7 linked regions of the Sus scrofa genome follow. The protein of the gene in region 3 interacts with the protein of the main gene of each other region in a pairwise test. Links are inferred from orthologs where the notes say so. Each region holds a gene or a part of one and is shown on either strand. Other genes may lie near its edges. The genes, in order: BAG5, CWF19L2, TRIM27, DMRT3, KANSL1, MRRF and EHHADH.

Region 1 (4,736 bases), on a different chromosome or scaffold from region 3:
GCCAGGGCCCGTCTCTTCTCCAGGGCCTCCCTCAGGTCCACGTAGGTGATGAGAGTCTGCACCTCAACCACCGCCCGTCTCCTGGCTTCCCGGATGCAGGGGTTCTTCTCAAGACTGACCTCGTCCAGCTGACCGATCAAGCCCTGCAGTTCCGTTTTGGAGCTCAGGTACAGCTCGGCGGGATTCTGGGCTCGGAGGAGCTCGTTTTTTATTTCTCTCACTCGCGTGAGGACCTTCTCTATCTTTAGAATGGAGTGGTTCTGGCCCAGGTCGAAGGCGTAAGTGGTATCTGCCTCCTCCTCCAAGTCCAAGTACTTCAGCAGCTTGTTGATATCCTCCACCACCTCCTTCCGATAGTTCCTGATTTCCGTGTGCCCGCACACATCCAAAGCGTCCAGATCCGCCATCAGCCCCGAGAGCACACACGACAGGTGCCTGCAGGTCTCGTCACTGCTCACGCCCATCAGGAGGGCGATCAGCGTGCCTCGGGCCCGGTTCACGTCACACATCACGGAGTTGATCTTGGCCACCGAGGGGTGCGCGTCGGCGGAGAGCGGCAGCGAGGGCGGCTTTCTCCCGCAGTCCTCGATGATCTCCTGCACGGCGCAGACCTTGGTTAGGGTGTGATACCGCGCCTTCCGCAAGGAGGTCCGGCCGCCCGTCTTGACGCGCGTCAGCCGCAGGATGACGTCCTGGATGCCCTCTTCAAACTCCTCCGTCACACAGCTGCCGCCGCTGTGAAAGGGCACGATCTTCTCTTTCACCAGGGACTGTGCTTCTTGGAAAATGTGCTGGATCTCGAGCCGGTGGGGGTGGTTTGCATTCTGCTCCAGCTCTTTGAGAAGACGCTCCGTCTCCTGGGCCGCCCTCTTCCGCGCTTGCTGAATATCTCCCTTGCCTTCCGTATCTACAGAGTCTATTTCAAAGAGTTGTTTCGTTAGAATCCTCTCCAGTTTCTTGTACGTCTTGTCGTCTGACAGGCCACTGAAAGCAGTTACTTGCTGTTCTATGCTTTTTACCTCCTTTTGGATCTCCTGGAGCCGACTTATAGAAGGATGCTGGTTTCCCATCGCCATACTTTGGTTGTGTTCAGTTTCACAAGCACTAAAAGATGGCAAAAACGATAACTCATTACACTACAAAGCCTGCAGCATGGTAATCACATATTCAATTCATTCTACAGTTCTCATTCTAAAAAGACAGGCTCGAAAAAAAAGGCTGGCTACTGCAGTCCAAAGGAGAAGAAATCCAAGCACAGAAATCAGAGCGACTCATCAATTCCCTCTCATGAAAACAGCTAAACAGCTGCACCGAGGTTGAGACCAGGGCTACTGCCGAGTGGAAATAGGAGCCGGAGCTCTGGGCCTGTGAACTTCAAGTTTCCTCAGTTGTAAGAGAGAACAAACAACATATGCCATCATAAGTATGGCATGAAGCTGAACATTTTGGAAAAGGTGCAGGTATCTGAGGTCTTAAAACTGGAAGCTGTTTTTTTTGGCGCGGCAGGGCACCTTTGTGGTAGCTCTGCTAACCTTCCAGGTCAGTACGTCTAAGCAGGGCCCTCCTCTCACCCCATTACAAAGAGCTATGACTAATTTCCGGAAAAAGTAAACAAAAGGAACCGAGCCACTGAAACAAACACCAGTGGTTCGCAGACACCGCCCAAGTCCCCGCTTCTACCGTCCTCTCCATCCTTTGAGCCCTTCTAACATCTCCTCTACAGTGGCATAGGGCTCCACGGGAAAGGCGACTGGGACTGTCAAAGCACCACCCTGGGCTCTGGAGGCCTAGTACCTCCCCAGGCCCCATCATGCTCCTGCCCCTTCTCCGAAATACATCGCACAAGCATGTGACAACTCTGAGCAATCCATTCACTAGCCTCACATTAGGAATCCAGAATGGCTCAACGCACTTTTTTCATGCTCCTGGGTTTCTATCGATCAGCTCTTTGGAGGGGGCCGGGTACTCAAGTGAAACCAATCCCTTCTGGGTGTCCGAGCCGAGAACACGCCTCTGGAGGCCCAGGGAGAGCAGGCGGCCTCGATTCTTCCCTTCCCTGCCCGCCCTTCCCTCCCAGCACTTTACCCAGAAGAGGTCTAAGCTGGTTTGGTCTTGGCTTCCCGTGGGTGAAGTGGCGAGATGGAAGATCAGCCCTTTACGGGGTGCGGCTCCGGAGCTGGGCCCCCAGCTGCATCCCTCTCACCCCTCCCGGCTAGATCTGAACGGGGCAGCCGGTGAAGGGGCCGGCAGTGGCAGCGGCAGCTACTGGCCGCAGCGGCCGCTCCGGGCGTCTCGCCCGGACCCCACGACGCACCCGCCCGCCCTGACCTCACAATGGCCCTCGGGGGAGGGGGCGGCCGCGCTCGGCCGGGCCTGGGAGCCGGCGAGGAGGGAGGGGGCTCGGGCCGGGCCGGCTGCGGGGAGCCCGGCTCGGAAACCAGGGCCGGCCCGCGTCGGACCCAGGGCTGGGGCGGCGCCCACTCCGGCCCGGCCACAACGGGGAAGGGCGCCGAGTCGGGGGTCGCCCGCCTGCTGCCCGCGCCGAGGGAAGGCTGCCGCCGCCTGGTTCTCGCTCACCTGCGCCGCCCGCGCCATCGCGCACTCCGCCGCCGACGCCCCGCGCCGCCGCAGCTCCCGCCGTCGCCTGGGCCCGGCAGCTCCGCCCCCGGGCCGAACAGCCCCTCGCCCTGGGAAAAGGTCTTCCGGCTTCCGCGCCCACCCCGACCCTGACCAAGCCCGCCGCTGGCCGTCTGGCGAGTCAGCCTGGAACGGCTGAGCCCCAGGAGCAGGCGGCCACCCGGCCGCGCCCGAGCCGACGGCCGTCCTCGCAGCCGGTCACACGCGGGGAAAGAGCACGATCGGCCGCGCTGTCCCCGTCCTCGGGCTTTGCGACCGTGCCGTAAGGCAGCCCCTAGCGCCGTCGCGACTCCGCCGTGCGCCGCGCGGGCCGACGGACGGCGACCATGGCGCCCTGGCGGCCCGGAAGCAAGACGGTCCTCCTTCCTCTCCGCCGCGCCTTTTCAGGCCGTGGCTGTCAGCTCGCCCCCGAGCGCAGCGCTGAGCGCAGGGATGCAGCGCCCAGCCGCGTAAGTGGGGTTCCCGGAAAAGTTGGGCCGGGAGGAGTGACCGCAAGGGGCGGCAGACCCGGGCCGCACCCCTCAGGGACCCCTGTGGGACCCTCACACCTGCGACGCGCCACTTGCGGTGTCGGCTGAGCCCCCCGGCGTGGGGACCCGGAGCCGGCACGGGCTTTGCGGGACAGGCGAGTGGAGCGCGGGGAAGCCCTGGAGCCCCCCAGTTTCCTGCGTCAATCCCCTTGTGGAGGTGGGACTGAGGGTGCCGCCGCCGTCCCGGGGCTGTTGAAAGAACTTTAAGAATAGCATAGCCGTGCAACAGAACAAAGGGTGGGGGAAAAAATGTATACATGTAAGAGTAATTTGGTCCCCATGCTGTACAGCGGAAAGAAAATAAAAGTAAAAAAATAAATAAATGAATAAAAGAATAGCATAGCCGGCCAGCAAGTTTATACGTACCGGGGAGTTCCCGTCGTGGCGCAGTGGTTAACGAATCCGACGGGGAACCAAGAGGTGGCGGGTTCGATCCCTGGCCTTGCTCAGTGGGTTAAGGATCCGGCGTTGCCATGAGCTGTGGTGTAGGTCGCAGATGCCGCTCGGATCCCGCGTGGCTGTGGCTCTGGCGTAGGCTGGTGGCTACAGCCCCGATTAAACCCCTAGCCTGGGAACCTCCATGTGCTGCGGGTGCGGCCCTAGAAAAGACAAAAAAAAAAAAGTTTATACGTACCGTCTTTCTGTCGAGGATAACTGGCTTTTACATGTAAAGAGCTCTTGACATGCGCAGCACGTGTGTGTGTCGTCTTTATGATTAGTAACGCTTTTCTTCAAGTGATGGCGTACTGTTTTGTAGGACTTCACGTTGAATGTTTTTGTTCATTTGGTTTGGAAACCGTGTGCATATATGTATATCTGTGACTGAAGAGCCATAACGATTAATATCTGTAGCAGTTTTTATAAATTGCACTGCTTTGGGGAATGACGTTTTGTTTAAGGGAGTCCTAAACTTTGATACCAACAGTCACATGAAAATGTGGACCAAGGGTGTGGAATGGGCTGCAGATAAAATGTTTAAACGATGGAGTTCCCATGGTGGCTCAGTGGTTAAAGAATCCGACTAGGAACCATGAGATTGCAGGTTCCATCCCTGCCCTTGCTCAGTGGGTTAAGGATCCTGTGTTGCCGTGAGCTGTGGTGTAGGTTGCAGACGTGGCTCAGGTTCCGGTTCCGAGTTGCTGTGGCTCTGGCATAGGCCGGCAGCTACAGCTCCAATTCGACTCCGGGCCTGGGAACCTCCATGTGCCCCAGGAGTGGCCCAAGAAATGGCAACAACAACAACAAAAAAAGCCAAAAAAAAAAAAAAAAAGTTTAAACGAGAGCAGGTTAAGGTTTAAACCAATAGGTTAAGGAGCAAGGCTGGAAAGCATCCTTTTTTTTTTCTTTTCTTTTTTTTTTTTTTTGTCTTTTTGCTATTTCTTGGGCCGCTCCCGCGGCATATGGAGTTTCCCAGGCTAGGGGTCGAATCGGAGCTGTAGCTGCCAGCCTATGCCAGAGCCACAGCAACGTGGGATCCGAGCCGCGTCTGCGACCTACACCACAGCTCACGGCAACGCCGGATCGTTAACCCACTGAGCAAGGGCAGGGACCGAACCCGCAACCTCATGG
Region 2 (4,062 bases), on a different chromosome or scaffold from region 3:
AGTTCAAAAGAGAGTCTGTAGGAAAATGTTTCTCTCATTATAATTTCAGTAACAAGAAGGTCCCTCTCTACTCACTTGTCCCACAGAGGCTGAAACTCCCATGTGAAGGAGCTTTAATGGCAGAGGCTGATGAATGTCATAGCCAAGTAAAGAGACTATACTATCCCAGAGCTAAAAAATCAGGAATAAACATTCAAATAAGCAATTAAACAAATAAAGATTTGCTACAACAAGTAGGATGAAAATAATTTCTTCCTTATTTGTAGAATTCTACTTAGTTCATGTTTGGTCAATCAGCCAAATGACCTTTTTCCCAAATAAGTTTTGAAAGTTACAAAGATCCTAAACACTAGGCTAATTTCTTATATTAAAAAAAAATACTTACAGACTTTCTGATATCTTTTGAAGAGAGATCAATCAATTTCTTGTTCATAGACCACTCTTCATCAGATTCCATTATGGCTTTCTAAGAAATAGTCATTCGTTAGTAAAGAATAATATACAAGTAAATGCAAAGAGACAGTTTAAAAATAAATTAATACAGTGAATTAATTATGTGGTATAATACACGTTAGGTCATTATTTTGAATGAAGGCTTTAATTTCTGTTACTTAAAATGGGAATTTCTTGATTTCTTATAGGTCCTATCTTTATCCAAGATTATACTATTTTACTCATTTTTAATAACCCTTATACTAACTTGAGATCACCTTTGCATGACAAAAACAATCCTTAGTAAAACCAAGCAATTAAAATTGAACATAATTTGTGAACATAAAATTTCACAGATTCCTTACTTCAATCACAGACATCTACTCAAATAAATTAATTTTGTTTAACTGTTCTTCTTCTGAATATAAGAATAACTTACGTGCTTTCTGGCAACAAAATACTTGAACTATTTCCGACCATATAAAAAAGGCATAAAAATGCCAGAGAAAAAAATACATAGAAGTGGAATTATAAGACTTTCTAAGCTAAGCAATGTGGCTAGTATTTATGGTAAAGAAATATTAATAAAAGGAAAGCCTGGAGTTTCCATTTGGCTCAGCAGTAATGAACCTGACTAGGTTCCATCCCTGGCCTCACTCTGTGGGTTGAGGATCCAGCATTGCTGTGGGCTATAGTGTAGGTCAGAGATGTGGCTGGGATCCTACATTGCTGTGGCTGTGGTATAGGCCAGCAGCGGTAGCTCCGACTGGACCCCTAGCCTGGGAACTTCAATATGCCTCAGGTGTAGCCCTAAAAAGCCAAAAAAAAAAAAAAAAAAGAAAGAAAAGAAAAAGAAATAAGAAAACCAGGGTGCTGCATATAAAATAATCTCATTTTTATACAGTATCATTATTAATGAAGCAAATTTAAAAGGTGAAATTGGAGTTCCCGTCGTGGCTTGATGGTTAACGAATCCGACTAGGAACTATGAGGCTTCGGGTTTGATCCCCGGCCTTGCTCGGTGGGTTAAGTATCTGGAGTTGCCATGAGCTGTGGTGTAGGTCACAGACGCAGCTCGGATCCCGCGTTGCTGTGGCTCTGGCGTAGGCCCTCGGCTACAGCTCCGATTTGACCCCTAGCCTGGGAACCTCCATATGCCTCGGGAGCAGCTCTAGAAAAGGCAAAAAGGCAAAAAGGCAAAAAAAAAAAAAAAAAAAAAGAGGTGAAATTAACACCCAGATAAGCACAATTTAAATATATTGGGAGCTCCCACCCATGGCTCAAACCTGAGGTAAAGGTTGATCCCCAGCCTGGCACAGTGAGTTAAAGGATCCAGCATTGCCACAGCTGCAGTTTAAGTCTCAATTGCAGCTTAGAATCAATCCCTGGATTGGGAACCTCCATAGGCTGTGGGTGCAGCCATAAAAAAACAAAAATTAACTGGATCAGGTATATGTTCTTCCCTTTTTAAAAGATTTAGGTTGCTTGGGTTTACACTATAAAATGGCACATTCAATATAAAATTGAAGCCAAATCAAATAAATACATCTTTAATGATCACACAAAGGGTTTATTATAGAGGAGAAAAGTGACATGCCATTCTGCTAAGAAATGAGATTTCAGTCACCCCAGCATGAAAAAAGAGTAGTTGGAGTTCCCGTTGTGGCACAGTGGTTAATAAAAACGACTAGGAACCATGAGGTTGTGGGTTCGATCCCTGCCCTTGCTCAGTGGGTTAACGATCTGGCGTTGCCATGAGCTGTGGTGTAGGTCACAGATGTGGCTCGGATCCCGCGTTGCTGTGGCTCTGGCGTAGGCTGGCGGCTACCCCTAGCCTGAGGACCTCCATATGCCGCAGGAGCGACCCAAGAAATGGCAAAAAAAAAAAAGAAAGAAAAAAGAGTAGTTGGCCTATGATGTGCCCTATAGCTCCATGCCTACAGTCACAGTCACCTAAGACTCTACTGAGGAAGTACAAGGGGAAAAAACCCAAGCACTGAAGAAAAGCATAATCTATTTGTCAACTGATTTTGTTTAACATAAGACTGGCATGGGTTTTGGGATTCCCTGGCTGGTTCTTCCCTATGTTAATAACATGACTTCAAACTAAGTAATCAAATTCTTTTTAAAAATTTCTATAGGAAAAGTAGATTTTCACCACCTCATCAACCTTAACAGGTTTTATAGTACTTTTTATCGGGAATTACAGTCCATATTAATTAAACTTTATCATCTATACTGTCAAAATGTTGCATTTGCAAGTTCTTATACCACCTCACAAAACATTATCTTTTTTTAATTGTACGTTACTATTTCATATATGGTTCTCCATTTACAAATTTATATTAGTCTATAAACTATACTGCACTCAGGTCAGTAACGACATTGATTTAAGAACTCTGGTCATTTATTACATGTCCAAAAGCACATGTCAAGTTTAGGTTTTAATTTCTTTTTATAAACAGCATGATGAGGTATTAAATACTAAAATATGTATCAATAACTTGTCTTGGCAATTGTTATTTGTACGGTTTGCATATAACCATCTTCGGCTCTTATGAATTTTAATGATAAATCTTCTAGAGTATCACTAATTTGGACCTGAAAGTACGTCAAAGAAAAATTTTGATTTTTCATTTGAGAAGTGAGAAATTAAAATAGAAATTAAAAATTACCATTTGATGGTATATTCATACTCATAAAAAAGCATGCTTTTTGAAGGTCAAATCCCAAATTTCTTTCTACAGAAATGTATATAAAAGAATTTTTTGTACTTTACTTCATTTCTTTATATGATATATATCTAAGTATACAGGAGAAGACATCAGAATAAAGATAACTGTATTCATAAAACAGTATCATGGCAAAAAATAATTATGCACGTAAAGACTATCTATGAATACCTTAAAATAGATGGGAGCCATGTCACCCACTTCCTTTGGGAGAGGAATGCATTCATAAACCATATGATATTGTTTTTTCATGCTCATATTAGTTTCTAAAAAGATACAGTCCAATCCTTTATCTGTGAACATCTTTACCAAAGATTTTCTGAACATCTGAAGAAAAGAAAATGGCTCGGTAAATATAAAGCACTGAGAGGTGATTCAAAATATGAAACGATAAAAAGTATAATAAACTCCTTTAAAATAAAAAAATAGTAAACAATGTCAAGTCTGTAACACTGCCTTACAGTTACTTTACTTTCTAAATCTACTACATAATTTCACACAGTTAAGCAACACTTTGTTAAACTGCAAATCAATCTGCACAGTATTATGTACATGGAAATGATATATGTCACTTGCATGCTAAAGTAGTTACTAAGAGGTAGTGTGCCTTCTCGCATCCATTTTCTTCCATCCCAGGGGCTGAAAAGGAAGAACTCCACCATAGGAGAACCTTGTCATGGAAAGAGCCTGATTACTCCTTGGATGCTATCTGCCATACTGGACTATGATATAAGAAATTAACTTTTGGGAGTTTCCATTGTGGCTCAGCGGTGATGAACCTGACCAGTATCCATGAGGATGCAGGTTCAATCCCTGGCCTTGCTCAGTGGGTTAAGGTTCTGGCACTGCCATGAGCTGTGGTGTATGTAGCAGATGCAGCAGGGATGCAGTGTTGCTG
Region 3 (4,532 bases):
TGGTCTGACGTGTGCCCCATGGAGGATGATCTGGAGCACACAGCCAAAATGTCTACAATGGTCCTCAAATAACCTTGATTTGTATGCTTAATTATTTGAGTCCACTCAAGTTTACCAGAAGATTCTCCACCCATCAGATCTATTTTCAAGCAGGGGAGCTGACGTCTCAGTGGATTTTGTGTGCAAAACAAGTGATGGGATTTTATGGCATCGTGAGAGTAAGTTTCATTATACTATTTTTGGTATAGTAAATCCAAAAATTCTTTACTATACCCTGTCCGGGACTGACAAAATTTCTCACAAGATGGTGCCAGACACTACTAGTCTAAGACTTTGCTTTTCAGATGCAAATACTTCTAATGAGTGAGAATTTGTAATATTTTATTTATTGTTCAAAAAGATACTGAAAACACCTAGGTGCTGGACATATAAGTATATATTATAAAAATCTTCATATTTTTGTCTCGTTTTTCAGAACAAAACCCCCAAACATCCCTATCACAAATTAGCACATCAGCCACTTGCTAAGGCCTTGAGATGATAGGGGAAGGAAACAAAGTGAAAAGTTTAGAACTGAAACATTGCCAAGAAAAGGAACTTTCTAGCAAGAAGTTAACTGTCGGGCTCATGGAAAACCATCTGTCTGCAGAATGGTACCAAAGGAGGCTAACCACCCAAGAATTTCACCTGTATCAGCTTTGTCAAGGATCAATCATGGTCTACACAAAGCTAGAGGATTAAATTTATCTCCAGGGGTTTTAAACTCAGCTATTCCCACCTTTCCTCCAAAATGTAGTAATTTCTTGGTTTTCCAGGTGAATTCTCACCTGCTATGTAAGCTTGTTCCACCCAAACCTGGATGACCTGACTGCACAAGCCTTGCAAAAAAAAAAAAAGAGTGACCAGCAGAACTGACATTATCTGTGTATCGAGTCTTACCAAGAGTTCAGCTCGTGCCTGCTCCCCCTGTGCCCGACGCCTCTTCTTTAAGTCTTTCACTCTTTTTAGATGGTCCAGCTGGTTCTGGATTTGCTCCTGAGAAAAGCAAAAACAGTTGGGCAGTTCAAGATTAGGCAGACCTTAGCATCAATATGGCTACTCTGCTTATCACATGTGCAACCCACATTTCTGATGCCAAGTCCCTGGTTAGAGTCCGTCCTTGGACTACACTGCCGTCACCAGGGCACAGAGGTCACCACACTTCTCTTTTGGTAGTTTGTATCTTAAATGGTGGGTAAGGATACTCCACGGCTTAGTGGAAAGGTGACTGGACTAGGTGGCTTTGAGTTGTCGCTCTTTCACAGTCGCATACTGAGAAGATTTAACAGCTCTTATTTTCTTATTGACATGGGCAAACACCGCTTTCTCAGCCTCCTGGAGGGTTATCACCAGGGTGAGTAAAATGATGTGAAAGCATTATAAATGTTAAGTGAATAATTTTGCATGAATGTACTCACAGTCAAACATGTACATGTTCCTGCAGTCCTCAAACACACAGATCATGCACTCCTTGAATGTTGCCTTACAACTGTTTTATATTTAATACTTTGTTTCCATGTTACTGTTTAGCTGCGCCCGTCTGCTGTTTCATGAGTTTACAAAGGGATCCACACATCAGCTCACTTCACTCAATCTTCATAACTGTGTTACCTCCTTTGAGTCTCACGGTGGTTAACTGACTTAAGCAGTAAGGAGCTCATTTTTCCGTGAGCTTCTAGAAGAAGATGGAGCATAGGGAAGTGGTGGGGAAAGGAGAGGTGATGGCCATCTGCTAGATGTGTATACAGCCAGTTAACGTCCGACTGTGTCGTGTCTGAGATCATCTAGGAGCCATCAGGAGTAAGAGTGTCTCTGAAGCTTGCAGATGCGTACATGGTTTTACGCATTCCTTTTGTACAGTCAAGGGAAGGGGGTCTCCATGGGCCGTGCCGGTGAGCGGGGAAACAGAGGGGCACATAAGGAAAGAAGAGTGGGGGTGGGGAGACTTCTGGCTTCCTCACCAGCTACAGGTTTTCCTCCCAAATCTGAGTGCCGAGGCTCTGGAGCAGACAGAGAGGAAATGACGGCTGTGAACCACACGTCCGGCTCAGCCATTTTCTAGGCGGAAAAAAGGAAGCCCCTTTGGCTCTCTACTCCCTTTGTCCGACTCGCGCTCCAGCCCCTCCCCGGCCCGCGCGCCCGGCCCTCACCTTGAAGCCCTCCACCGCCTCCTCGAGCGGCAGCACGCTGTGGCCGCGGTGCTCGCGGGAGCGGTCGCACACCACGCAGATGGGCATCTGGTCCTCCTCGCAGTACAGCTTCAGGGGCTCGCGGTGTTTCTCGCACACGCCCATCTCGCCTCCCGGCCCCGACGGCCGCTCGGTGCGCAACTGTTTCACCAGCTGGGTCACGTTGGCCAGGTGCCGGTTGGGCCGCATGTGCCGCTGCGGGAAGGTCTCCCGGCACTGCGGGCACGACACATTGGTCTCCGCCGCGCCCCAGCAGCGGGCGAGGCAGGCGCAACAGATGTTGTGGCCGCAGTCCAGCATCATGGGCTCGACAAAGTACTGCAGACACACGGGGCAGGTGGTCTCCTGCTGTAAGCACTCGGCCACGCTCCCGGAGGCCATGGCGCGGGCCCGCGGGGGCGCACGGGCATGGGCCCTTGAGCCCAGCCCTGCGAGGAGCCCAACTCTACGGCTCTTCCCTCCCGTTCGCTGCTTCGGGGCGGCGCGGGGAGGCGAGCCCGGCTGACGGAGGGCGGCGCCTCCCGGGCCCTGATCCCAGACGCGCCCGCGCGTTGGAACCGGGGGTGGTCGGGCCGCGGGGCCCAGCCGAATGACGTGGGGGTACTTCGGCCCCACGAAGCCCGACAGCTACGCCAGGGGGTCGCGAACCAGAGGCTGCGCCAGTCGGACTCCAGGAGCCGGGCGCTAGGAAGGCGCGAGACAACGTGGCCTTGTCCCAGCGGGTCCCGGCGGCCGCACAGACCCCACCCCGGCGCGAGCGGAAGAGGCGGGGCGGGGGCGGGGCTTGGCCCGAGCCACCCGGCGCCGCACGATTTTCTGGCCTGAGGGCTGGGCAGTTTTCCCCTCCTAGGACCTGGGAGGCCTTGCCCGCTGCCCTGGGGCTGACCGGGCGGGGAGCCTCAGGAGCAGGTAACCGAGGCAGGCGGTGTCCGCGGGGCGCGACGGAGACAGGGTAGCCCCTGCCTGCACGCGCCAGGCCCACTCGAGTTTCCGTGGCCCTGGGCCTAGCCCCCTAGTCCTTTATTGGGCTTCCTGCCTGGTGCCCAGGCCTCAGCAACGGCGAGAGAAAGCTAGCTTTGTGTTGGCGTGGGAAGAGGAGACATCTGGCCTCCTTGGGAGGCCGGAGGGGTGGGGGGTAGCCCACTGAGCCCCACCCAGTCTGTGAGAAGCTTTGTCTAACAACCCCATTAACAGGCAGTCGCAATTTTGTTTCGGAAAAGAAAGGCTTAATTATCAGAAGGCAAGATTGTTGTAACAGAAACAGACAAGCCCAGTTCTGCTACTTCCTACTGTCCTAAGCAGAATGGTTTACCATTCTGAGCTTCAGTTCCCTCTCTGCCTCTGGCTCAAGCTATACTCTCTGCAGCCCTCTACAAGGCCTACTCCTAACCCAAACAAGCTGGCGACATCACTCTCTCTTTACCAGCAGGCTTCCCATGTTCACGTAGAACCTGAAATTCTAGTACTTGGTTATTTTCTATCTAGACTTTCTTTAACTTTGCCTTGTGTAGAACACTTGAAACCAAAACACCTCCGACTCAAACCCAGGCTAAACCCAGATTGGGACTTGAACCCACAGTTTTTTAATTAGAATCACTCCCCTGGTGTCTGGACTTACTGAGGCTCAGGTTCTTTGTGCCTCAGGGCAGAAGGAAGGAATTCATTGAGAGGCAAAGTGATGGGCAAGAAATAGATTTATTAAGATACAAGATGCTTGTGAGGAGGCAGGTGAGGAGGCTTTTCTCCAAGAATTCGGTGGGCTACATTTTTGTCATCCAAGGAAAGTGGGGAGTAGGAGAAGACCACCTTCTTCCTCATCCTTCAGGTAGACCTCAGGCTCACATCACTAGCTCCTCCTTTGTATTGGGTAGGAGAGTATTTGACCCTATGACGTCAAACTAGGACTGCCTTGGTGTTCATTCAAATCAGCCGAAGGGTGGTAACATATGCTAAAATATGTTGAATAATCTCAGGTTTCCATAGAGTGAGGGTCTCCTATTTTGAAATATTATCTTTCCCTTACATTCCAGTCCTTAGCCCTAAGGAGCATTATCTTGCTGAACTTGAGTGCAGGCCTCATTTTATCTTTCACTTAATGACCTGAGGCATATCTTGTGCTTTTATTTATGGTTTTATAGTTAAGCGAGCCTGCTTCCTTCCCTGATGTCCTGATAGCTTGCTTGCTTGCTTTTTGTCTTTTGTCCTTTTAATAGCTTTCTGGAGCGATTGTTAACTTACAGTGGTCTCTAAAGTTCCCTAGGTTTCCCTCTCTATCTATGTTCCCATACTGGGACTTCTACAACC
Region 4 (3,090 bases), on a different chromosome or scaffold from region 3:
TTCTTGCCCTGGGAGCTCTCTCTGCATCCTTGTCATGTAGAGGCTTTTATTTATTTTCTTATTTACTTTCCCTTCCACGTTCATAAGTTTATTGTCTGACCTGAGCAGTCATCTTTCTTCTCAAGCACTCAGGAGAGTGGAAACAGTAAGAAATGGTTGGTGGGAACACCACTGCACATTATTAAAACTCACTTTTAAAAATACCTGAGCAAAAAAGTGAATAAAAACAAATGAAATAAATAAAATAAAAATATCTGAGCAAGAGGTTTGCCATATTAGTGTCCTCCCCCTGAAATGCTTTTTTAAATGAAGGGGAAAAGCCCTGTTTCCAATGGTTTGTTGCAGTCACCTCCTAAACTGCAATGGCATCTTCTCCAACTGAGAATGAGGAAATTCACTTCTGCATCCTGACGGCAAATAGCAGAATATATTGAACTGAATAGGAGGAACTGCTCTCGTTGATTGAGTGCTGTCTCTATGTTGGGTACCATGCTAAGCACTGTGCTTACTTCCCACACTGCAGATTGTTTCATTTTTACTTTGTTTTTAATGAGATTCTCCATCATGTAATCCCTGCCATCTTCAACTCATGGGCAGGTAACTTGGTCAATAGCAGACAAAGAGCCTTGTCTTACACATAGTAGGCTCTCGATAAGTATCTTTTGAAGAAACAAACAAATGGATGGATAGCTGAGTTATCTCTATTCTTGAACAATACATTCTATCTTTCTGAATGCAGTCCCCAAAACTTTGCCATTCATTTTTCTCGAGGAATGTCGCATTCAACGGAAACCTTGATCCATGCATTAGAAAGCAGCTTTTATATCAAGTTTCTATTTTAGACATCCTCTTTCAACAAACAGAAATGACATAAACCAAGATCATCTCCTTAGTTTATTTTTTTCCTAGGCTCCTTAGCATGCTACATTAACCTGACAAAGCTTAATCTTGTGTTCATTTCACAATACAGTTCATGCAGTTCACAGCTGTGATTGGTTTTACATTGACATAACACATGTTTCGATTCAGCCATGTGAAAAGAATAATTCTTAATGGAGTTTGTCTCTGAAAACTGTCCAAGCTTAAATAAGCATGAGAGCAGTTCACTCTATTAAATGCAGTTTCTCTTTAAAATGCAAGAAGAATATTTAGCACATGAATATAAGGTCCCTGTTTATAGTCTGTTTGCAACTGAACCACTTCCTTGAGGTTTCACATATCCTGAGGAATCCTCCTTTACAAAATTGCATTCAAGTATACTATTTTATTGAACATTCCAGATTGAGTTTAGGAGCAAGGCTGACCTTCAGCTTTACATCCCCAAATAAATCTTCCATGGGCCCAAGGCTTTCTCGCCTATTCTTAGCATTAGACTCTCTTTTACAATGAACATTCAGCACTAAAGCCACAGAGCAGAGCTATTTGGCATTTTCCAGTGAAGTGCAAGAAATTAAATAAGTTATGTTTTTATTGCTAAGGTATAGAATCAAGCACAGTCACTTTGTCAAACAGAAGGAAAAGGTATACACAGGATGTGGGCCCTCCTCAAGGGGGAGCCCGGGGTTCAAATGCACAGAAAATGTCACCTGGTCACCACCCATCAGGCGCCACTTCTAAGATGATGTGTTGAGTATTCTAGAGTCTGAGGAGTCAGACCTCTCATCATAGTCGTCCTCGGTGTAAATGGACTGCTTTGACACAATGGGACACCCATCCTCAGGGATGGAAATCCTAGGGTCTTCTGGGGCACGGGCAGGGAGGACAGGTGAGCTTCTGAAGACGCTGGCTGAGTTGGTGGGGAAAGGGCTGACATACTGGGACCTCAGCTGGTACTGCTGCTGCAGCGTCATGGTGTTCCACAGGGTGACATCGTTGGGCAGAAAGGGGCTCGACTGGTTTCTCGCCAAAGTATTCCTCAGCATCAGAGGGTACCGGGGCGGCTGGGGGAAGGGGTGTTGCAGGGGCACCGCCAAGGGGTTGGGGACCACGTTACTAGAGTCCGCGGAAAACCTCAACGTGTCTGGGACCCTGAAGGCCGAGCCCACGGACCACTTGGAGGAGGAGATGGGGTAGGAGCTCAGCGTGTGCTCGAAGATGTGCCCATTGGAGGGTAACACCAGGCCCTCGGGCTCTGCTGAAGTTCGCTCTGCGGCCGAGCCGGAGGAGCGGCTGGAGAGGAGGACCTCCACGGCGCTCACCAGGTCGCCGCCACAGCCCTTGAGGATCAGCTCCAGCACCGTGGGCTTCTGGTTGGGAAATATCTTCTTTAACACTTCCAGAGGCGGCCTGTTGGCTTTCAGGCTGAAGGGCAGTGAGACGGTCCCCGAGGGGCCCTCGATCAGGAGGTGGTTCTGCTCCCCTGGATACTTGGGGCTGTCAGGGCGGCTCTCGGAGCTGCCTCCGTTCTTCTGGGCCGCGTACCCGCCTTCATCCACTGACACGATCTCAGGGCTCTCAGGGGTGAAGCAGCCCTTACTTTTGGCCACATCCGGGGAGCTCCTCTGGTCCGTGTCTTTGTCGCTGAAGGTCTCTGTGTTGTCGGTGGTGCTGCTGTCCCCAAGCCGTTCTTCAGCCAGATCTGAAAAGCACAGAGCAGCTGGGTTAATCCTTTCCTGGTGTGCATAAAGAAGAACAGATGTGCTCAAGAGAGGGTCCTACGCCGGCTTTTTAAAAGGGGAAGCGGCTTATAACATACTGCCAGCCTTTAAAAATCCCAACTATGTGATTGGCAAATGGCAAAAAATAAAAACAAAAAGAACTCTGTACATAAAGATCTAGAAATTGAAGTGATTTCTCAAAATGGTGTGTGTGGGGAAGCTGGCTTTCAACACAGAAGAGCAACACGATACCTACAACCGTAGAAGATGTGGCAATCTAGCAGGAACAGTCTAAACAGGGACCAGGCTGGAGATAAACACAAGAAAATGAACTCAGGCTCCTCTTCTGCAAATAAGGGGGCAATGTCACCCAAGGACATCATTAGCTGGTGCATGACCCATATGCCCATGGGAAATTTCCACATTTTAAATCCATTTTCTCATGGTTGGATTTTGCGTTAAATGTCCTGCGAACTAGTTGTCTTGTAAGTTT
Region 5 (4,062 bases), on a different chromosome or scaffold from region 3:
CAACTAAGGGCAGTGGCCTTCCATGGACACAGCTAGGGCCCAAACTCCCTGTTGACCCTCCCTCCACAGGTCCTAGGGGCCTGTGCCTGCCCCATCACCTGCTGCCCCGCCGCTGGGGTGGCACACTCGTGGTCCACAGCCACCGAGCCCTCTCCATCTCCTCACATTTGGCATGCAGGGCGGCAAAGGCTGCGTCAGAAAGGTCCTCGATCTGCAAAAGAGCATTCATTGAGCCCCTCTTTCCTCCAGAAGTGTGGGTAGGTCAATTCTAGAAGCCGCCCCACCCCACAGCAGGCTCTTCCTGGTCACAGCAGGAATACAGTGAGCTTGCACTTGATGCCACAGGTCCTGAGGCATCTGCAGTGTGTGCTCCTCCCAGAGGGAAGGACCACACCCTTACCTCCTCGTTCTCCTCATCAGGACTCCCCTTCAGAGACCGAAGATCGACCTCCCGCCAGCTGCAAAAACCAGAAAGGGACAACCGTGAGGTGGCAGGCAGTTTGGGGCAGGATACATTTGTGTAAGAGTGAGAGCCCTCCGCCTGCAAGTGACACCCCTCTATGCTGGGCCTTCTCAGCCCTGGAGGCCTCTACAAGAGGCTCCACACTCAAATGCCCACGAACAGGGGCAGCAGGCCGAGGGTGAGATGAGAGCTGGGAAGCTGAGGGGTCCAGCTGATGCTCCCATAGGGGAATGCACATACAGGGCTGCCCAATCTTTGAATCTGACAACAAAAGCTGGAAATAAAGACTCATATGTGAAACCTTGCTTTGATGCTGACGACAAATTCCGTATTTTAAAAGACACTTGTATATGTCAAACAAAACATGACCATAGCCAGTTTGTGGCCTGAGGTCTGGCTGGTGCTCATATAATGGGAGAGAATTATCTACAGAAATAATTTCACTCTAATCAGGTGGACCTTCTCTCAAGGAGAAGACAGAAGCCAAGGTGAGGGCCCCAAGCTCAGCGACAAGAAGAGAGGAAGAGGTACTAAGAGGAAGACCAGGGGAAGAGCTGATCATCCAGGACCCCTACCTGGGAGTCAGGATCTCCTTGTACTGCAGCTTCTCTACACGGGTCGTTGCAGCCACAGACATTGGGATGACGATGTTGTTAATATCGAATGAGCTCTCGCCCCTTCTCCTCCTCACTGGCTGCTGTGAAGACAAAGGTTACGTTTAAAAGGGAGGAACAGTTCCACAAACATCAAATCATACGTGTGAGATTCCAAACAGGATCGCAATAACCCCAGTAGGGACGACCACGGCAGAATCCCTAGGAGATGATCCCCCACAGCAAAGTGCTCAGGAAAAATACCAGGTGGTCCTGAGGAGCAGCTCCTGCCCCAGTCTTACTGGCCACCCTCCTCCTCCAGGCAGCTGCTCCATTTCTGCTCCTCCACACACGCCTTTTTACTCCCTCCCCGACTAAATCCTTTCTGTTCCCCCTTCATTCCTGTCCATGATGTAGACCCATGATGGCCCCTAAAAGCAATGCTGAAGCCTCGTGGTGACTCTTGAGGTTAAAAAGAATTCCCTTATCCTGAAAGACGCCCAAAGGACAGGCCCAGCTCAATGGATCATCTAACCTTGGTTGTCATGAAAGCACCTCCTTCTCGTGGGTCTGAACTCTTCAGCTGAATCTGTACCCAGCCCTTATTACGTGATTTCCTCTTCCTGGCTATTATTCTTGGGGAAAGAGCTGGGAGCTTTCTAACTATATCAATGGAGATGAGTGGAGGGAATGGATGAAGAGGACCGGGCTATACAGCTCACACTCCTAGAGAAAGGAGATTCGTCCCTGTAGGAAGTTAAGATCAAACTCAGGAAAGAAGACTAACGAAGATCCAGCCAGTATCAGAGGAGGAGGTGGGCATCTGCAGCAGCTGGGAGATCAGGAGGAATAAAGCAAGGAGCCGAAGGGCATGGTTTCTTAGATGGAGGGACAAGTCCATGAGCGGCCTTGTGCCTTGATAGCAAACACCCTGCCCTACAATAGGGACTGACAATTGAGCTGAGAGGGGCCAGAGGGAAATAGTGGGGATGACAAACATGCTGCCATGGCAACAGTACAGCTGTGAACACCTAAGAGGCTGTATTCAAACCCAAACCACCAACAGGGATCAGCCCAGAGGCAAGGGGTTAGTGAGGGAAGATGAGAAAGAGGCTGTTCCCCACAACTAAGCTGTCTACTCCCTGTTCCTGGAGGGGCATCCATGACTGGTCCATCCTATCACTGCAGGGCCTTCTCAGAGAATGCTGAAAGGCAGGCTTTCCTGAGCCAGGATTTTAGTTGCTGTCACCTATGATTTCAGGTTAAAACAATGTCTTTTCCACCTCAGTTTCTTCCTCTATCAGCAAGAACAGACTGATGCTGACTGCACAAATTTAAGGTAACTGGTTAACCAAAACGGCTGATGTCTTGCCTGGCTGAGTTCTGCAGCTGAAGCTCAGTGACCTCATACCCCAAGGCCTTTGCCACTGCCTCATCTCTGCTGAACACATGCGTCCCACTATAGGAAGTGTACCTTAAGGAAGCCTCAAGAGACACTTTCCCTATATTTTGGTCGAGAATGAATGTGAAACTGCTGGCAGAAACAGCTATGTATTTTCCCTGAATCTTCTTGGGCCTGCTCTTAGTACCTTCAAGGCAAAGAGACAGGTGTGGGTTGTGAGGTTCAACAGGCTCCAGCCTCCACCCCACACTTAGATGCCCCAGTTCCACCAGGTACTCATTTGGTCTAACGTAACTAACTACTTTCTCCTGTTTAGAGCCACAGGTGGAAGGCAGGTGATGAGAATGCAAAGTGGTGCCCAAACCTAGCTACACATCAGAAGCAAGAGGAAGAATAAATTAAAACAACAACAACAAAACACACACAAAAAACCTTCCAGGGTCCCCTCCTTTCTAACTATCAAATCAGAATATTCAGGGCTTCCAAATAAGGGGCAGGGGGGTGGCAGCGGCACACAGAGGTGATTCGGATGCATCCATCAGCTTTTGTGGCTTTTGCTGAAGCACTACCACATATGCCCCCATCCCTCCCTTCCCCTGCCATTTCTCCAGTGTCTTGTAGCTTCTCTTATTAACTATCTGGTCTGTCCCTCTTCTTGCTATTAAATAAATCCAGATTCTTTTGAAGAAATTTGTCAGTAAGAGCCTTAAGGGTCAGCATAGTGCTATATACAAAATTTGTATGCATTAAATAAGTAAAAATTTTAAACGATCCAGGCCTAAGTTTACATTTGCCAGACACATGAGTGCTGGCAGGTTAAAAAAAAAAGTGAAGTCTCACCAAGTCCTAGAAATTAGAGAATATCTTCTATCAGGATAAGCGCCCCCCCTTTTTTGGGTGGGAGGAGGGGAGCTGTGTCTGCAGCATGAGGACACTCAGGACCAGAGATCGAACCTGAACCACAGCAGTGACAACGCCAGATCCCTAACCTGCCGAGCCTCTATAATAAGTCTCTTTAAAATCCTTTCATTTTCCAAGACTCCCTGCCAATGGACAACTGAATGTGTGACAGATTCTACACATCTATTGAGATAAAACCTATAGTGTGCGAGGTGAAAGGGGGGAGAAACGAGATCATTTAAGAGTCAGAACAATATGCAATAGGAGCTTAGTGAGCACCAGCATAAGTCACCTCTGCAGTGCCCCAACCCAGGCTCTCACTGTGTAGCACGATGGTCAGGTACAAGAGCTGGCTCTGCAGTCAGACTGCCTGGGTCGGAGTCACAACTGTAACCCTCACAACTTGCCTTGCCTCAGGCAATTCACTTAACCTTGGCAAGTCTCCGTTTCCCTGCCAACAAAATGGGAATCTTTTATACCACCTACATGTCAAAGGGCATTACAGGACTGAATGAAGTAACGCATCTAAAATAACTTAGCACTGACACAATAAGCACTATAGTAGGAGCCTTTGGCTGTTACGATGAGGACTGCTATATAAAGGACCCTCTTAACGGGCACAAAGCAGCAACAGGTATATGTGCTCAAGGAGGCATAAGAACATGAACATGCGTCTAGAACGGTCGTGCGAACAGCTTACAGGG
Region 6 (4,846 bases), on a different chromosome or scaffold from region 3:
TAGCGGACCTTTGGATGCAATCTTGAACTGGAATCTGTGTTAGCCCATTTCCTAGCTGTGTGACCTTGGGGAGATGATAGGCCTCTCTGAGCTACAGTTTCCACATCTTTCTCATGGAGATATTAATAAACCTTTAAAAATACAATGATTAAAAAAAAAAAAAAGGGAGTTCCCGTCGTGGCGCAGTGGTTAGCGAATCCGACTAGGAACCATGAGGTTTCGGGTTCGGTCCCTGCCCTTGCTCAGTGGGTTAACGATCCGGCGCTGCCGTGAGCTGTGGTGTAGGTCGCAGACTCGGCTCGGATCCTGCGTTGCTGTGGCTCTGGCGTGGGCCGGGGGCTACAGCTCCGATTCGACCCCTAGCCTGGGAACCTCCCTATGCCGTGGGAGCGGCCCAAAGAAATAGCAAAAAGACAAAAAAGAAAAAAAGAAAAAAATAAAAAAAAATAAAAATACAATGATAATAATAGTGAAATTATAGCTTATAATTATACACTGATAACTATGAGCCAGAAAGAATTCTAAGTGCTATATTACATACATGAACTCATTTGAGCCTCATGATAAGCCTAGGAGATAAGTACTATTATTATAATCCAGTTTATGGATAAAGAAACAGAGGCACGGATAAATCCTTTGCCCAAGATTTTATTTCAAGCAATTTTGTTCCAGAATCTGTTCTCTTAACCACTATCCTATACTGTGTATATAAAACAGTATGGTTGCTGGCACTGTTATTCAAACTACTGAAATATTTTTAAAAATTACAGAAGTACATAATCTCTATCTAAAGTTGAGGTTCTCAAAACTTGAATTTTCCTTGTGGTTTTTTGTTTTTGTCTTTTTAGGGCTGCACCCACAGCATGTGGAGGTTCCCAGGCTAGGAGTTGTCAAATCGGAGCTATAGCTGTTGGCCTACGCCACAGCCACAGCAACGCAGGATCTGAGCCGAGTCTATGACCTACCCCAGAGCTCATGGCAACGCCAGATCCTCAACCCACTGATCAAGGCCAGGGATCAAACCTGCGTCCTCATGGATGCTAGTCAGATTCATTTCCGCTAAGCCACGACGGGAACTCCAAACTGTCCTGTTTTTCATAGAAGGCACATTTTAATGTTGTAAAGAACTAGATGAGGAAAACACACGTCCTGGCTCATCCACTACGCCAGCAACCCCTACCAATCCAGTCGTGTATTAGCTTATAATACGCTAATAATACACACAGACCCTTGCTGTACATAAAATACTTTCATATGTATTACCTGATTCCCACAATAACCAGGGTTATGATTACCACCCACATTTTACAAAGAAGCAAACTGATCTTCCATTTCCGTGAATACTCCTCCTGCTTCAGGGCCTTCAAACATACTGTTGCATCTGCTTGCAAAGGTCTTCCCACACCTCTTTAATGAACAACCTCACATTTTCCTTTCAGACTGCAGCTTAAACATCACTTCCTCAGAGGAAGCCTTCCTTGGCTGCCTCCTCTAGCCCAACAAGTCAAATGTCCTATAGCCCACTTTCATAACACCCTGTACTTTTTCATGGCACTTTAACAATATCAGCTAATATTTGTGCAGTTATTTGATCATGGTCTAATTCCCCCCATAAGACTATAAGCACCACAAGGACTAATGTATGCTTGTCTTGTTCATGGCTGTGTCTCCAGTCTCCAGCACATTCCTGAACACAGAAGACTCTGAATAAATGTGATGAAAGATGAGTGAAAGTCTAGAAAGGTTAAGTCCTTCCTCAAGGTCACAATGCTGGCACCAGAACTGAAATCTAAGCCCCGGACAGTAGGTCCTGGGCTCTGTTTCCCAAAACTGCTTCCAGTGTCTCTTGGTTGACAGATTTTTCACTTAGAGATAATAAGGCATATTATTCTCTAAATTCGGTGCCTTGTGAGGGCATTTATAGTATCTGACTATATATAAGATCACATCCCTGGCACAGCTAAAGGAAGGATAAGACACTTTAACAGATGGAGAAAGAGCCTTTGCCTAAGAGCTAGGAGGCCTGGATTCCGATATTCCTATCTCATCACTCCTGCCAACTATCCTTTTTAGATTCATAACTACTCTGTATTCAAAAAGTATTTGTGAAAGCTCTGCCGCTGACGACTTATATCAAGTCATTTCTTCTGAGGTTGTTTCCTCAACTATAACACGAAGAGTCAGACCAGACTTTCATTCTTTCTAGCTATAGAGCCTTCAAGATTCTGAGAATGCAATAGAGTGGGGTGAGTGGAAAAAAGCATCCAACTCAGAGAAGACCTGGGAAAGAATGCTGGTTCCAGCACTTCCTGGGTATGTGACCTTACATAGGTCAAACTCTCTTGGCCTCAGTCTCATCTGCAGATGACAATACGACTTGTTAGGGTTACCGGGACGATCGAATGAGATAAGAGCTGCAGAAGCACTTTACCAATATAGAAGGGCTACTGAAATGACTGTTTTGTCACTGGACGGCACAGAGTAATGTTGGAATTGAGTCCCCTCACTCACTAGCCGCGTGACCGTGATGAAATTACTCGTTCGAGCTTCCGTTTCTCCATCATGGGGAGAAACCTCCCACGGGATTGTTCAGAAAATTAAATGTTCCTGCCAGGTAGCGGGCAACTAAGTACCTGATACTATTTAGTAACCTAAGCCTCCCATCCTGGAAGTTCCTAGCTGATGCGATTAGCCCCGCCCCCAACCCGTGAGACTCTCGGATCTACCAGTCCCGCCCCCATCTGTAAAGGTCAAGCCGGATTCCAACGGAATGCATCGGGAACGGTGTTCCGGGCCCTAACAGTCCCCTGAGAAGTCCCTGAGCAGAAGTCTCTGGCGCGCGAGCCTCAAGACTATACCGAGGACACTCACCAGCTAGCTCCCAGGGTACTAGGAAGACTCGCGCGACCGCGGCGACGGAGGCGGCGCGGGCGTCGTGACGTCACGGGGCGGTGCGGCGGCGCAGGCGTAGTGCGTCAAGGGCGGCCTGGCAGCTGGCGGCGTTGAGGTGGACGGGTGTAGAGGGCCGTGGGACCGCGGAGACGGGACCTGCTTTGGGGGCATGAGCCGAGGAGAGGACTCCGAAGTCACGAGGTGAGTCCGGCCACAACGCGCCTCTACCCTTTAGCGCCGGCCCGACAAGGAGTTCCCAGCGGAGGCTCCCCCAGTGAGACGGCTCCTCAGACCCCGCCCCGGATCGTCCCGCCGCTGGCCCGGAAATATCAATCCGAGTAATGACCCCTCGCAGCTGGGAATTCGCGGCCAGGGATCGGGAAGCCGGGATTCAAGCCTTGACCCCACCATTACCATTAGCTTTTTAAGAAGAAGCGCCTTTGCTTCTCTGCACTTCAGTTTTCCCAAATGACTGTTCTTGGCTTCCAGGGTAGTTATAGCTCAGCTGGGCGGGGGCGGGATGGGGGAAGGCTAAAAAGCGTTTTGTGAACTGTGAATCTGAAGGGTTGTCGCCATTGCAAACCCAAGAATTTTGAGATAGTTGCATGCCATCTTAATCACTTATCACACTTTACCATTTCTCAAAAAGCTCTGTGCCAACTTATCAAATGTATTGCCATATTTTAGCCTCATAACAACTCGAGATAAGGATAATAATGCCCATATCAAGGAAGAAGAAAAAACGGAAGCTCCAAGTGGGGAAATGGCTTGCCTGCTTCATTCATTCGTTCATTCACTAAACTTTGAGCACCAGCCAGGAGCCAGTGTACTAAGTGCGGGGATGGGGAGGGGGATAGAATCATCAAAATAATCAAGACCCTGCTCAGTAGTAGCTTACTTTCTCATATCTTACTTTCTAGTGAGGGAAACGAAAGATAAAACAACGTATAAGGCATTGAACTGGTATTGAGTGGAAAGAAAAAGTGCCTGTGATAGAGACTAACAAGATGCCCTTACTCTGTTAAGGGAAAGCTTTTCTAGGGCTAGAGGACACTTGAGGGGAGATCACGACTTGAGTCACAAAATAATAAATCCTGGGTGCAAAAGCCAGTATTTGAGTGCCTGTCTTTTGGCCCCATACCCTGTACTCTTTCCCCTTAAAATGATTCACTTGTGTGGTATTAAGTACTTGTTGGTATTATTTATTGCTGTTTTTAGACATGAGAGAGTCAGAAGGGTCTACATTCAAGTCTCGTCTCAAATGTCATTTCCCTTAGAGGGCTTTCCACTCATTCTGAAGTAGTCCAGCCCCAATCTCCTTGTCAGATCTCCTTGCTTAACTACGTTTGCAGCACTGATCACAAATTACGCCTTGTATATTTATTTTGCATTTGTTTTGTCCTGCCCCTTTTCTAAATATGTGTATCCAGAAGGCAGAAACCTTGCTTGTTCACTGCTCTGTCCCCAGGACCTAGACGATGCCTGGAAAATACAGGCTTTTTTGAATGAATGGTCTGTAAGAAAGTAGAAGGAAAGGAAATCCAGGAGAAGACAAAATGTTTCTCCTCCCCCAACCTCCATGCCTGGGATTCTAGTCATGCCTATTTCTCCTTTCTCCCAGGAAGTAAAAGCAAGAACTGTGGCTTATTCATTTCTCTTTTTCAGCAGCTGGTAGCTGCTTTTCACACATTACAGAACAGATTGAACATGTGAGAGAGGAAGAAGAACGCCCTTGTGTGTTGGAGGGGTAGATAAACACATTTAACAAACAATATCTAGGGGCTACTGTGTGCTAGACTGTAGAGGCTGTGCTGAGGTGAATAAGAGATAACGCCAGCATTCAGTATGGCAGCTGTTGTTATTAAGACGCAGTTCCTACAGCAGTGATCTCAAAGGCACTTCTGGTCTTATAGGACCCATGTTTTTTTCTAGCAAGGAGTTCTGAAGTCTGGCA
Region 7 (4,062 bases), on a different chromosome or scaffold from region 3:
GCCTAAGATAGATTAAATAATGTGTCAAACATTAACCAGCTATTAAATGGCTTACTCAACTGTTTGAAGACTTGAGTTTGGGAGACAAGATGGTGCTTTGAGGCATGGAGTAAGGGATCAGAAGTATGAAAAGTCAGAATTGATATTTCTTTGTGGGAAAGGAGGTAGGAGAGAATGCAGTTAGGTTCAGAGGCAAAAACAATAATTGTCCTAGAAAAGCATTAGGGATTATCAGACTTAACTTAATGGACTTATATGGAACAATGCGCCAGACATTTGGAAAATATATATTCTTCTCAAATTTGCAACATTTACAAAAATTGATCAGGTACTGGATCATGAAAGCTTATCTCAAGAATTTCATTTAGAATGTGTTCTCTGACCATAATGCAGTCAAGCTATAAATCAATAACAAACTAACTAGAGATTCTCAAGTGTTTGGAAAATAAATCCATTTCTTAATAACCTCTGAGTCAAAGCAGAAATCAATGCAGTTTAGAAACTATTTTGAACTGAATGATAATAAAAACAGCTTGAGGAATACAAGCTCAAGCTTAGCAGGAAATTTATAGCCTTAAAGATATACATCAGAAAACAAAAAAAAGCAACCATATTGTGGTAAGCATCTATATCAAGGAACTGTCAGAACAGTAAAATAGATCCAAATGAATTAGAAGGAAGGAAGTAGTAGAAGAGAAATTACTAAAATAGAAAACAAATGTGAATCAAGAGAATAAAAATGTCAGAAGTTCTTTGAAAAGACTAATAAAACTGATAAAGCTTCAGTTAGACTTATCAAGAAAAAACAAGAAGGTACAAACAATACGCATAAAGAATGACAGATATCACTGCAGATGCTCTGGCCATTAAAAAAGATAATAGGAACAAGTAGAAAAACACAGCTTATAAAATTGACTCAAGAAAAAATAGGAAATCGTTAAAGAAATTGAATCAGTTTTCAGAAATCTTACAAAGTAAATTCAAGTCCCAGATGACTTAATTGGTAACCTTTAACTGAAAAGTCAAGGAAAATATTATTCTAATTTTACAGGAACGTTTCAGAGAATAAAAATAAGAGTTTTACTTCCTATATGAGTTTCCTGGGGCTGCCATAACAAATGAGCAGAAACTGAGTGACTTAAAACAACAGAAACATATTCTCTCAGAGTTCCATAGGCTAGAAGTTCAAAATCGAGATATCTGCAAGGCCAGTCTTCCTCCAAAATCTCTAGGGAAGAATCATTCCTTGCCTTTTACAGAGTCCTATGTCTGAACTAGTCACTTAACCTGAAAGCCTTAAATTTCCCTACCTGTAAAATGGAAACTGTTATACTACTTAACAATGTTAAGAAAATTAAATAAGGCAGTATATAAATCTACTTAGCACAGTGCCTGATATATAGTATTTATCTAATAAATGTTAATTGCTACTATTACATGAAAAACTATCTTGGGAGTTCCTGTGGTGGCACAGTGGAAACTAACCCAACTAGTATCCATCAGGATGCCAGTTTGATCCCTGGCTTTGCTCGGGATTTCCTTTTTTTTTTTTTTTTTTTTTGTCTTTTCTTGGGCCGCTTCCTGCGGCATATGGAGGTTCCCAGGCTAGGGGTCTAATTGGAGCTGTAGCCGCCGGCCTGTGCCACAGCCACAGCAACGCAGGATCCGAGCCATGTCTGTGACCTATACCACAGCTCACAGCAACGCCAGATCCTTAACCCACTGAGCAAGGCCAGGGATCGAACCCACAACCTCGTGGTTTCTAGTCGGATTTGTTTCCACACTGCCACGATGGGAACTCCTGCTCAGGATTTCTGATAAAGATTTGAGGATTTTCTCTCATGTCATTCAACATTTTCCAGGCTATTTGTTCCTTTACTGTGTCTGCAGCCAAGGATGAAGTGTTTCATGGGTCCAAAGAGGTTTGAGATTCCTTAAGAGTTATCTGAGGAGTTCCTGTTGTGGCTCAGCAGATTAAGAGCCCAACTAGTATCCATGAGGATATGGGTTCGATCCCTGGCCTTGTTCAGTGGGTTAAGGATCTGATGTTGCCATGAGCTATGGTGTAGGTTGCAGATGCAGCTCGGATCCCATGTTACTGTGGCTGTGTTGTAGGCTGGCAGCTGAGCTCTAATTTGACCCCTAGCCTGGAAATTCCCATATGTCACTGGTACAGCCCTAACAAAAGGGGGAAAAAAAAGAGTTATCTGGTTACTTTTTGTTTTATAGCAAAGCCCAAGTCTTCCTCTACTGTCTTTTTTCCTTGTCTTTGTATTCTTAGGTGCCGATATCCATGGCTTCAGCGCTCATAAAACCTCTGACTTAACACTGGGAGATATAGTAGATAAAATACAGAGATATGAGAAGCCTGTGGTGGCTGCTATCCAAGGCTTGGCTTTAGGAGGAGGACTGGAGCTGGCCCTGGGCTGTCACTATAGGATTGCCCATGCAGAGGTAACAGAGGGGATCTATAGGGGATTTGGTGGTGGGGCTTTTATTTAGGGCAAGCTCTAAATGTAGTCCTAAGCATCAGAGATGTTAATTTTAAAGGGTTGGCTTATTGGTTGACAACTCTTAGGTATTTCTAGCACTGGTATTAGCTATTTTGTACCAATACATTAGTAGTAGTTGTTGAAAGGTTGAAAATATCCATTTTATTTGATAAATAGCTGATACCCTGAGCCCATGACTGTCCTTCCACTTCCCCTAACCCCAGCTCTTGGACCTCCCCATGACCCACCAACTAAAGCGGAACTCCTGTTCAGACAGGACCTGTAGAATCCTGCTCTGTTACTGTGGCTCACATGTCAGATTTCACTGAGCCATGCTCATGCAGTATGAAGTATTAAATATTTTGACTGTCACCCCTGAGTATGCATACTTATTTAAATTTTCATTTCCTATCACAAACATTTCAGTTTTGTGGTCTCATAATTATTAGTACCTAAGACAAACTCCCATTGGAAATAGCACACAACTAGTAAATCCATTTATTTCTGGAAATAGATTTAATTTGGATTATTAGACATGTAGATTGAAGTTTGTGATTCCAGTCTTACAAGAGTATTTTTTTTTTTTTTTTGTCTTTTTATGGCTGCACCTTTGGCACATGGAGGTTCCCAGGCTAGGGATCGAATTGGAGCTGTAGCCATCAGCCTATGCCACAGCCACAGCAATGCCAGATCCGAGCCACGTCTCTAGCCTACACCACAGCTCATGGCAATGCCAGATCGTTAACCCAGTGAGCGAGGCCAAGGATCGAACCACATCCTCACGGATACTAGTCAGATTTGTTTCCACTGAGCCACGATGTGAATTCCAGTAATATTTTTGTAAATAATTCTTTTTTCTTTTTAGAGCCACACTGTAGCACATGGAAGTTCCCGGGTTAGGGGTCAAATGGGAGCTGCAGCTACAGGCCTATACCACAGCCATAGCAACACCAGATCTGAGCCTCAACTGTGACCTATGCTACAGCTTGCAGCAACGCCGGATCCTTACCCTGTTGAACAAGGCCAGGAATCAAACCCACATCCTCATACTATTTGGGTTCTTAACCCACTGAGTCACAATGGGGACTCCTATATTTTTCTAGTAATAAATATAATATTCATCATTGTAATAAATTATAAAAAATATGCATAAAAGTATGAAGATGTAAACTAAAGTCACCATAAACTCACAGTTCAGAAATAACCACTGTTAACATTCTGTTTTATTTCCTTCTGGTCTTTTTCCTGGGTAATATCTTTTTCTTACAGTTTTGTTTTTCTTTGCAACCTTTTAATTAAAAAACCCCCAATATTTGGAATTTTATTCTCCTTCATTTGAACTCTATTTTTATACTAATAGCATGTTTAAAGTGTTATTAAATAGTCTTTATCCATTCTGCCAATATCTGCTATTTACATTTAACATAATTATTTATAGTTGCCATTTTGCAATTTATTTTCTGTACCTTCTTTTTTTGTTATTCCTCAATTCCTCCACTAACACTCTTGTTTGTGTTAAATAGATATATTCTAGTGCCCTTTAACTTCTCTTATTATTTCTTTTACTGTG

Evidence for each region.
Region 1: the proteins of TRIM27 (region 3) and BAG5 interact in binary tests that used the Homo sapiens proteins (3 or more experiments, as listed by UniProt). The two-hybrid records come from large-scale screens. The link is inferred for Sus scrofa from reciprocal best matches to the Homo sapiens genes TRIM27 and BAG5.
Region 2: the proteins of TRIM27 (region 3) and CWF19L2 interact in binary tests that used the Homo sapiens proteins (3 or more experiments, as listed by UniProt). The two-hybrid records come from large-scale screens. The link is inferred for Sus scrofa from reciprocal best matches to the Homo sapiens genes TRIM27 and CWF19L2.
Region 4: the proteins of TRIM27 (region 3) and DMRT3 interact in binary tests that used the Homo sapiens proteins (3 or more experiments, as listed by UniProt). The two-hybrid records come from large-scale screens. The link is inferred for Sus scrofa from reciprocal best matches to the Homo sapiens genes TRIM27 and DMRT3.
Region 5: the proteins of TRIM27 (region 3) and KANSL1 interact in binary tests that used the Homo sapiens proteins (3 or more experiments, as listed by UniProt). The two-hybrid records come from large-scale screens. The link is inferred for Sus scrofa from reciprocal best matches to the Homo sapiens genes TRIM27 and KANSL1.
Region 6: the proteins of TRIM27 (region 3) and MRRF interact in a two-hybrid assay, tested with the Homo sapiens proteins (2 studies listed by IntAct). The link is inferred for Sus scrofa from reciprocal best matches to the Homo sapiens genes TRIM27 and MRRF.
Region 7: the proteins of TRIM27 (region 3) and EHHADH interact in binary tests that used the Homo sapiens proteins (3 or more experiments, as listed by UniProt). The two-hybrid records come from large-scale screens. The link is inferred for Sus scrofa from reciprocal best matches to the Homo sapiens genes TRIM27 and EHHADH.

Annotation. Positions count from the first base shown.
Region 1 is NW_018084979.1:2,107,242-2,111,977, forward strand, and holds the start of BAG5 (BAG family molecular chaperone regulator 5), read right to left. Parts: upstream 2,896-4,736; 5' UTR 2,578-2,895; intron 2,560-2,577; exon of another isoform or gene 2,086-2,559; intron 1,105-2,085; 5' UTR 1,077-1,104; coding exon 1-1,076. Other genes in the region: APOPT1 (apoptogenic protein 1, mitochondrial), read left to right, coding at 2,964-3,086. UniProt on the Homo sapiens protein: Co-chaperone for HSP/HSP70 proteins. It functions as a nucleotide-exchange factor promoting the release of ADP from HSP70, thereby activating HSP70-mediated protein refolding.
Region 2 is NC_010451.4:35,982,949-35,987,010, forward strand, and holds part of CWF19L2 (CWF19-like protein 2), read right to left. Parts: intron 3,492-4,062; coding exon 3,336-3,491; intron 467-3,335; coding exon 386-466; intron 1-385.
Region 3 is NW_018084804.1:137,728-142,259, reverse strand, and holds the start of TRIM27 (zinc finger protein RFP), read right to left. Parts: upstream 2,992-4,532; 5' UTR 2,610-2,991; coding exon 2,190-2,609; intron 1,036-2,189; coding exon 940-1,035; intron 1-939. UniProt on the Homo sapiens protein: E3 ubiquitin-protein ligase that mediates ubiquitination of various substrates and thereby plays a role in diffent processes including proliferation, innate immunity, apoptosis, immune response or autophagy.
Region 4 is NC_010443.5:220,818,944-220,822,033, forward strand, and holds the end of DMRT3 (doublesex- and mab-3-related transcription factor 3), read right to left. Parts: intron 2,579-3,090; coding exon 1,614-2,578; 3' UTR 582-1,613; downstream 1-581. UniProt on the Homo sapiens protein: Probable transcription factor that plays a role in configuring the spinal circuits controlling stride in vertebrates.
Region 5 is NC_010454.4:17,089,842-17,093,903, reverse strand, and holds part of KANSL1 (KAT8 regulatory NSL complex subunit 1), read right to left. Parts: intron 1,161-4,062; coding exon 1,039-1,160; intron 459-1,038; coding exon 401-458; intron 212-400; coding exon 99-211; intron 1-98. UniProt on the Homo sapiens protein: Non-catalytic component of the NSL histone acetyltransferase complex, a multiprotein complex that mediates histone H4 acetylation at 'Lys-5'- and 'Lys-8' (H4K5ac and H4K8ac) at transcription start sites and promotes transcription initiation.
Region 6 is NC_010443.5:262,354,363-262,359,208, reverse strand, and holds the start of MRRF (ribosome-recycling factor, mitochondrial), read right to left. Parts: upstream 3,216-4,846; 5' UTR 3,094-3,215; coding exon of another isoform or gene 3,062-3,093; 5' UTR 2,872-3,061; intron 1-2,871. UniProt on the Homo sapiens protein: Responsible for the disassembly of ribosomes from messenger RNA at the termination of mitochondrial protein biosynthesis. Acts in collaboration with GFM2. Promotes mitochondrial ribosome recycling by dissolution of intersubunit contacts.
Region 7 is NC_010455.5:123,151,848-123,155,909, reverse strand, and holds part of EHHADH (peroxisomal bifunctional enzyme), read left to right. Parts: intron 1-2,281; coding exon 2,282-2,454; intron 2,455-4,062. UniProt on the Homo sapiens protein: Peroxisomal trifunctional enzyme possessing 2-enoyl-CoA hydratase, 3-hydroxyacyl-CoA dehydrogenase, and delta 3, delta 2-enoyl-CoA isomerase activities. Catalyzes two of the four reactions of the long chain fatty acids peroxisomal beta-oxidation pathway.